Chlamydomonas reinhardtii: one gene and its partner. The protein of the gene in region 2 interacts with the protein of the main gene of each other region in a pairwise test. Links are inferred from orthologs where the notes say so. Each region holds a gene or a part of one and is shown on either strand. Other genes may lie near its edges.

Region 1 (4,342 bases), on a different chromosome or scaffold from region 2:
CTGCTCCTGCAGCGGCCCCTCTCCTCCAAGTCACAACTCCTCCCTCGCCTCCCTAGTCGTCGTCGTCTCCGCCGCTGCGGTCGTGCAGCAGCACGTACTCGCGGCTGCTCTGCCCGAACCGCACCACGTCCTTCTCCAACAGCTCGTAGTAGCGCAGCGGCTCCACCTTCTCGCCTGCAGGCGTGGAGAGGGTCCAAGAGGAGGCCCAGGAGCAAAAGCCAGGTGGAGGCTTGGAATGGTTTGCCAGTAAGGCCACTGCGTCTATCCATAGGTGCCGCACCCTGGACTGCTAGTCCCCCAGAGCCCAGCCGCAACCACTCATTCCCAGCCCGCTCCAGCCCCTCGCGCCAGCCCTCCTCCTCCCTATCACCTCCGCCCCCACGCTCCTCCCCCTTCCCACGCACCCATCGCCCCACCGTTCAAAAAGGTGCCGTTGATGGAGCCCAGGTCAAGCAGGTACGGCCGCACCGCCGCCGCCGGCCCCACAGCCAGCCCGTACTCGTCAAAACCGCCGGCGCCGCCCGCCTTCTCCGTAAGCCGGAACTGCAGCACGGCGTGCTGCTTGGAGCAGGAGGGGTGCGCGGTCACGATGTCCGCCACTGTGAGGTCGCGGCCGAACAGGTAATGGTCCATCCTGGAGGGGAGGTGGGGAGGCAGGAGGGAGGGGAGGCGGGACGCGGGAGGGGTTGGCCGCGTGACGGACGGGGATGCTGGGGTACGAAGGAAAGGGAGTAGAGCCCCGGGTAGAGCGGGCGCTAAACAGGCCAAAGGTGCACGAGCAGGGGTGAATGGCGTGAGGGGCGAGGGAGGGCGAGATGACGGCAGGGAGCATGGTGGTGTCCGTGCAAACCCGTATCCGCATATCGTATCGGCTGGCAGAGGAGGTAGGCGCCCACCAGTGGCGCGACGGCTTCCCGGGCAAGTCGAGCGCAGGGCCCCACGCATCGTGCACACGTACGACATGCGCCGCACCTGTGTATGTGGTAGGGCTCGTCCTGCAGCTGGTCGTTCTTGAAGATGTACAGCCGCCAGCGCTTGTCGGGCTTGCGCGCCTCGGCCGGAGGCACATGCTTCAACACCACGCCGCCCGCAACCTGCCATTTTCACATGCAGGAGGTCGTTGATTCCATTCACACAGATGAGGCCGCGGACCCGTGGTTCCACTCGTGGTTCCACGCGTCCGACCCTCAGCCCCATGTACGGGCATACAGTCTCTTGTTCCGCACAGCCGGGGAACTGCAGGGTGTGACAGCAACCTGCTAGCCCCACAAGCGAATGCCCTGCTGGCCGAACCCTCGCCCAGACGCACCTTGTTTGTCTCAGCCGCCAGCTTGCCGGACAGACCCAAGTTGGGCTGCTCCTGAGGGTGTCAGCGGGGGCATGTGCGCATGGCAGCATCGGCGTGGTGGCCGTGTAAGTGGTTGTGCAGGGCCGTGGCAGTACATGTCTATGATGGCCATTGAGCACCAAGGTCAGTGAGCAACTTGCAGCAAGACAGTCCTGTTTGCCATGGCCACGTGCCGCCTGATGCAGCATGCGTAACCCCCGTGATGCACTACTTGCGCCGATGCTGCCCACATACACTTGCCTTGGGCGCCTTGGGCTTGGCCGCCTCCTCCGCCTCCCGCTCCTTGAACTCCCGCTCCTCCTTAGACATGTAGCGCGAGTCGCTGCCACCACGGCCCCGACCGCCACCACCCCACTCGTCATCGTCGTCGCGGCCACGCTTTGGCCCCCGGCCCCGGCCTCCACCCCGGCCGCCGCCGCGACCGCCGCCGCGGCCCCCGTCGCCGCCGCCTCCACGACGGTCCTCATCATCCCATTCACGCCGCCCCCCAAAGCCGCCGTCACCGCCACGGTCGCCGCCGCCACGGCCCTCACCAGCCGGGCCACGGTCGCCGCGGTCGCCGCCGCGGCCATCTCCAGGCGGGCCGCCGCCGCGGTCGCTGCTGTCGCGCTCCCCGCGGTCCCACCCTCGCCGGCCCCCATCAAGGCCCTCATCCCGCCCTGCACCGCCGCCACCACCGCCATAGCGTGGCCCGGGCGCATCCTCGTGCGCCGGCTCCTCCTTCACCGCGGGCCTGGCGCTGCCGCCGCCGCCGCGACCGCCGCGCTCCTCCGGCTCCGCATGACCGCCGCGGCCGCCCCGGTCACGGCCCGTGTCTCGGTCGTGCTCGTGTTCCCGCTCCCTGTCACGGCCGTAGTCCCGCTCCCGGTCCGCATCCCGGTCTCGAGAACGCCCCGCCTCCCGGTCCCGCGGCTCCCGCTCCCTGTCGGCGCGGCCGTGGTCGGCACGGTCCCGCGGCTCGCGGTCCCGTTCCCGGGCGCGGTCGCGATCACGGCCTTGGTCCCGCGGCTCTGGCGAACGCGAGGGTCCCCGGCGGCGTCGTTCTGCGATGCGGGAGGTGTGGTTGCAGATTAACGGTGGCAGCGCAGTGAGACGTGCGGAGTGGGCCAGCGTGGGCCGGTCGCCAGGTGCTGTGCTCTGTGGGGTGAGCTGTCTGACAAGCATGTTTCAGATGTGATGCAGGCGTGGCGTGGGTGCCACTGTCATGGCGCCACGATAACACCCGCCACGGTGTGGTCCTGGCGAGGCTGGCTGAGCGCCAGGGTCCCGGTCCCCTGACCCGGTCACGTCTGACCTCCGTCGCGCCAGTAGCCTGAGATCTGCTGCTATACTCACCATCACCCATGGTGATTGTTCCACAATTGCAGCCCCAGCTAAGCTGGAACTGCTGTCAGCAGCAATTCGCCCGCGAACTCCTCTGCCGCACCAGCACAGGGTTACCGAGGCATGCTAAGAGTACCAGGAGCTAGAAATTAAACGCTGGTGAACCAGTGCGGGCAGTCAGGGCCTGCAAGTGGCTCAAGTCCGAGGCGCAGCGTCTAGATAGTCGAGGGCGTTGCTTAGCGTTAGTGTATTGATGTAATGTTGTATCTCTATGAGCGCAGGGTCAGTGTCTGGCCTAACTTTGACTTCATGGATTGCTCCGGTTTCTCAATTTCGGATTCACCGTAGCTGCGCCACCCAAAGCTCTTCCGGTATTAATACCCTAGTGATTATAGTTAACTTAACTGAAGTGCATATCGAGAGGACGCACCGCAGTTGCGCTTGGCATTTGGGTTTCCTCTCCTGTTAAAATCATACGGCGAAGGCATGATTACTGATGTAATGCTCGTATGATGTAGTAGTGTGATGTAATCGAAACAGGGGGTGGCTCTGACAGTGGCCTGAGGCCACGCGGACCTCTCGGCACACAGCAAGCTCCCGGAAACCCAGCGGCCGTAGCCCCGGCGCTTCTGCCTGCCCCTAGCGATGCCGGTCCTCCAGCCCTGCAGCAAGGCCCTGAAGCTCGGAGTTGGGCTCTTCGTTCTCTCCCTATTCGTGTGGCAGTTACTGGAGTCGCGGCACGAGCAGGTGCGGCACCGGCATGGTGGTCACGCTTTGGCTTGCGGGGCCTACTGCACAGCCCTGCGAGGCTTTGCAGAGGCCCACGTTACCCCATACCGCACCTCTCCCCTCCCCCGCTCGCGCCTCTCCAGGCTGTAACAAAGCTAAATAAAACATCTCTGGAAGCCCTGCTGCAACACCTCAAGTCTGAAGAGCTTGTGCGACGACAGTTGTCTCCAGGCGGGCCGCATGCCGACCGTGCTGGCGGCCGCCATCAGCAGCCCCACCACGCCGCCTTCCATTTCGTCAGCTCCGGCCTGGTACGGCACATGGCGGCGGCGCAGGCTCGCATGCACGTGGAGCGAGCTATGAAGCTAGCTGCAGCTGAGAAGCGATTGCGCCTGGCATTGGAAGTCTCCGAAACGATCACTTCTTCGGGTCGTGCAGTTGGTCTGGGTTCGGCCGAGCGAGGGGGCATGGAGGCGGCGGTGGCAGCGGCTGGGGCGGCGGCGGAAGCGCTGGCTGCCCTTAAGGCGGCGCACGCAGCCGCTGAGCCGCCCGTGACCTTTGGAGTCCAGCTGTCGTGCGGCTCTGCGAATCACTGTGGGCTTTGGCAAGCCCACGGCCCGCAAGCTGCTACTGCTCCTGCTACTTCCGCTTCCGCATCCATGCTGGCGACTCGCGCACCGCTACCTGCTGACGCGGAGCCCGGGAGAGGACCGCAGTCTTGCACCATCAGCACGCAAGAGGCAGGCTGTCCTGCTGGAGGTGCAGCCGGTAGCGGTGATGCAGCGGAAGGCCATGCTTCCGAGGGCGACCCGGCGGCAATGGCGGCAGTAGCAGGACGTACCCCTGACGGCGGTGCTGATGTGAGTGGCGGCGGGACGGAGGGCTTGACGGAGCCGCCGCAGTGCCCAGTTGCTGCTGCGGTCGTGGCAGCGGCGCACCATG
Region 2 (4,161 bases):
GTGCGGGTTAAGCCTGCGGAATTCAAATTTACGTCGGCAGACAGGCGCAGGCGAAGCGCACAGTTGAAATGGAGGAGCGAAGTAAGAGCGGGGGCTGCAAGGAGCAGGGGGCGAGCGGTGCGGTAGGCTGCGTGGTGCATGGTGCAGCTCTTACAGAGGGGGTTGCAGAGGAGGTGATCTGCATTGGGAGGTCGGGCCCGGTCAAAGCCAGATGGTGGCGTCAGGACAGGCATATAGCCTGTAGAAGCTCGTGCAAGCCCCCCTCCACTGCGTGCTGTGAGCTAGCCTTTTTACCCGCCACCAGCCTCAAGCCTCGGGCCTGCTGCTCATGCCTTGGCTCCTGCCAGCCCTGTCGGCAGCGTCAGGCAACGGCTCTTTGCTGGAGCGCACTAGGTGGTGGTGCTGGTGGGTGGCCGACAGCTGACACGCAGGCAGTCAACTTGACTAGAGCAGTTGAGCCTGGGAGCCACAGCCCTATCAACGCTTCGGGATTGTTTGCCTGTGACTCTGCCGCTGCAATGCTGCACGACGGCACACGATATCATACCATTCCTGACGGCAACGGTTTGCAAGGGTTTACAGTGCACACAGCATCAAGACTACCGCAGTGAAAGCAGCGCACTGCGACGCCTACTTTGCATCAGTTGCGTGCTCATGCTAGGCCGCCCGGCTCCTCAACATACATCCGCGGCCCAAAGCCTACACGAGTCAAGGCGCTTAGGATAATCTGATCGCGATCCAGTCATCGGTATCGCCATCCCTTGCCGTTGCGTCCTCAGCACGGCAGATACCGTATAACACCTTCCACACGGCGCTTATAGCTGTAGCACGGCGCTTATAGCTGTACCTCTCCGTCCAACAACCGAACGCCTCCCAATCGCCATCAACCCCGACGAGCGCTTGGTCAATGCTTTGCAGCCCCAGCGTGAGCTGCCTGGCAAGCAAGCACCCATACCGCTCCGCACCTCGTCGGCCCCGCGCCACACGAGTGCCGCAGTAGGCACCGTCCGCACCTACCACCGTATCCGATAATGTACTGGTCAGTACCACTTCGCACTAGACCTGCAGGCCCCCACGCAATCCTGCGTGCCCTTAGTACCGACGCCGCCGCATCGCTGCACACAATCAGCTGCGCGTGCACCACAACAAGTCAGGCCCTGCGGGCTGCTCCCCACCCGCGCCCTGCATGTTTTTTTTATCTGTCATACGCATACACATGCGCGGGACCCCTGCCCCAGGGACCCTGTTGGCTCTCCTTTGCGTAGGTTTCGCATGCACCAGTCCGGCCCCTTCGCTGTGATGAGCTGTCGCCCACACCGTCACCCGCCCAGCTCCTTAGCTTCTGCCGTACAAGCGCATCACCCACTCGCCTCCGTTATGCACACTGCATTGCGTTGCCATGAGTTCTTCGCGCCTCGACCTAACCACCCGTGGTAACTGCCCCTCGCCCTCCTGCTGCCCCCAGCAACCGCCGCCAGCTACTGCCGCCAGCTACTGCCGCCAGGTACTGCCGCCAGCTACTGCCGCCAACTACTGCCATGCAGCGCCACATCAGCAGGCGCCGTCGCCCTGCAGCTCCGCCACCTCCACCAGCTCCGCCATCGCCACCAGCACTGCCAGCAATGCGCTCAGCTGCCGCGGTAGGTGGAGAAGCCGTAGGGGCTGAGCAGCAGCGGGATGTGGTAGTGCTCGGACGCCTTGTCGGCCGTGATGATGAACTCCACTACCACCTCGGGGTAGAAGGGGACTTCCGAGTAAAATGCGGGGTGCGCGGCCTTGCAGGCGCCCAGGTAGGCGGCCGTGTCAAAGAACATGCGGTACCGGCCGGGCTGGATGTAATTGCCCGGCGGCAGCAGGTTGCCGACGCGGCCGTCCTCGTTGGTGACGCCCTCGCCGACCGTCTCCCACACCTTGGAAAGCTCGTCCTGGCGCGACAGCGCGAGCGGCAGGCCCTTCGCGGGCAGGCCGGTTGCTGTGTCCAGGACATGCGTGGTGATGGGCGAGCGAAGCGGCGCGCCGCCGTGCCCGGGCGCCAGGTGCGTGAGGACCTGCTCGGCGCGGCGCGCCGCGCGGTCCGCGGCGTCGGGGGGCAGGGCGAACAGGCCCGACAGGCGCAGCTCTGTAATCTTCATCTGCTCCGCCGCGGCGGTGTGCAGCTCCTCGTGGGGCAGGCGGTTAAAGCGCTTCTTCAGCGCGGCCAGGATTTCAGGCGCGGACCTGCCCTTCGCGAAGATGATAAAGATGAAGCCGAACTTCTCCAGGTAGCGTTGGTTCCACTCCGTCAGCTCGGCCTGCACATCGCCGCTGAGGCTGGAATTGGAAGCTGCTTGCTCGTTCCTGCTGAAGCCCGCGAACGCCTCCGGCTTTCCCTCCATGCCCTTCTTGTCACCAATTTTAGGGTGCGCTGCAAGGGCCTCCAACCATCCCGGCACACCAGTTTGCGTCCACCAGATACGCCGTGCTGTTGCGACTAGCGCGTCAATATCTGAATATGGTGCGTGTGCAGAGAGCTGCTGCGCAAATCGGGTTGACGCGCAGCAGCTTATCGCCTGCTCATAGGAAACTGCGAGCGCCATTTTATGGCTTCTTGGCTCGCTGGCTACGTCCTATCTAGCTTGATTGGGCGCAACTAAAGAGATGTCAATCTGTCAGGTGAATAACAGACAAAGCGAGTGCACACGTGCCTGGATTGAAAGCTTGCTGCAGGACCATCCGCGCCATAGATTGCCGAGCCTAATGCAATGTTGCTCAAACTGTATACAACTTATGATCCTGCGCGCACACTGCCAGTCCGCTTTACCTATAAGTGCCGTTCACTCGCGGGACATTCGCGGTTGCACCGACCTCGCGTGTACCGCAGCGCAAGTCCCCCGGTCCCTTCTGTCCCGCCTTCTGGGCCAAAAGGGCCAGAAATTCACGAGCACGGAAGAGGACCGTCCCCCATGGGTGACTGCAACATTCACCCACGCAGCGATGCCGCCCGCACCTGGAACGCTGCTGGCATGAGGATCCACAGCCCCCACCTGCGCCAAAGCTGGTGCTGGAGGGGCCTGGGCAGGGGAAGGGGGCAGGGGGCGAAGGTGGCGGGCAAGGCAGCGGTCCAGTATGGCAGCGGGCCGGGGGGGGGGGTATGTGCCCAAGCCCAACGGAGTAGGTTCCAGTAGTCAAGGAGGTTTCCCCTAACCCAGGGGGAAGGTAGGCGTTCATGAGGAACGGAGTGGGGCGGAAGAGTGGGAAGTCTGTGATCCGATGCTGCCACTGGGTCGCCCCACCTGGCACATCTCGCGAAGGCACACAAGTGCGCTCCTATCCAGGGCAGGTACCGTGCTGCTCGCCTGGTCACCGGTTCAAGGTCCGGGCAAAGAGGTAAGACGGCCGGTATGGCCGATCTTGGGGGTGATCCGGCGGGTCGCTTGGTGTCTTCGACATCGCGCGCGAAGCCGCATTCCACCGCGCAGCAGCTCAGTAGTGATTCAACAGGTACACGCACGGCTGCACGGAAGCGTAAAGTAGCATGTTGCGAGCGTTGTGAGGAGCGCGCGATCCACGTTGCTTCCAGGTTTACTGCCCTTCGCTTGCCCGTGCAGCGGTGGTGCGCGATGCCGCCTTCTAGGTGCCACAGGCTATTGTCTGTCCGCACCGGCGCCGGCAGCAGCTCCGCCTCCTCGCATCAGGCCGAGCCGAGCTACGAGGAGCGGGTTGCGCGGGTCTGCGCTCTGGGCGGCCGCGTGCACCAAGCATTTCTGCTGCAGCAACAGCAACAGCTCACGAGTGCCAGTGGTAGCAATGGGAATGCAGACAGCAGCGGCGGCGGCTCAGGCGGAAGCAGCAGCAGCTCGCACGCCGGTGCTGCTGCCGCGACCGCCGCCGCGACCGCTCGGGGCTCTGGCGGCAAGGGCGGAGGCAGCAGCCGCAGAGCAGCATCAGGCGGCGGCGCAAGGGCGGCGGCAGCAGCAGGCGGCGGCGGTGGAGGGGCGCCAATGCCGCTGCCTAGAGCGGCGGAGCTGGCGGCGGCGGCTGACGACCTGGCCGTGATCAGGGAGGTCGTGTCTTCCGATCCCAGCCACACCACTCCCGACATCTTCACGGAGGCCCGCCTGTGCGGACAGCTGCAGGGGCTGATGGCGCTGTTGGGCTGGTGCCTCAGGCTGGCAGTGCCGG

What was found.
Region 1: the proteins of CHLRE_17g735950v5 (region 2) and CHLRE_09g390430v5 interact in binary tests that used the Arabidopsis thaliana proteins (3 or more experiments, as listed by UniProt). The link is inferred for Chlamydomonas reinhardtii from reciprocal best matches to the Arabidopsis thaliana genes TTL and DDL.

What each region holds. Positions count from the first base shown.
Region 1 is NC_057012.1:3,643,389-3,647,730, reverse strand, and holds the start of CHLRE_09g390430v5 (uncharacterized protein), read right to left. Parts: upstream 2,978-4,342; 5' UTR 2,694-2,977; coding exon 2,684-2,693; intron 2,392-2,683; coding exon 1,589-2,391; intron 1,361-1,588; coding exon 1,310-1,360; intron 1,095-1,309; coding exon 973-1,094; intron 635-972; coding exon 417-634; intron 175-416; coding exon 53-174; 3' UTR 1-52. Other genes in the region: CHLRE_09g390356v5 (uncharacterized protein), read left to right, coding at 3,317-3,418, 3,544-4,342. UniProt on the Arabidopsis thaliana protein: Involved in the microRNA (miRNA) and short interfering RNA (siRNA) biogenesis. May facilitate DCL1 to access or recognize primary miRNAs. Binds RNA non-specifically.
Region 2 is NC_057020.1:5,235,391-5,239,551, reverse strand, and holds CHLRE_17g735950v5 (uncharacterized protein), read right to left. Parts: upstream 2,723-4,161; 5' UTR 2,577-2,722; coding exon 1,629-2,576; 3' UTR 565-1,628; downstream 1-564. Other genes in the region: CHLRE_17g735900v5 (uncharacterized protein), read left to right, coding at 3,600-4,161. UniProt on the Arabidopsis thaliana protein: Involved in the last two steps of the degradation of uric acid, i.e. the hydrolysis of 5-hydroxyisourate (HIU) to 2-oxo-4-hydroxy-4-carboxy-5-ureidoimidazoline (OHCU) and its stereoselective decarboxylation to (S)-allantoin, a major ureide compound.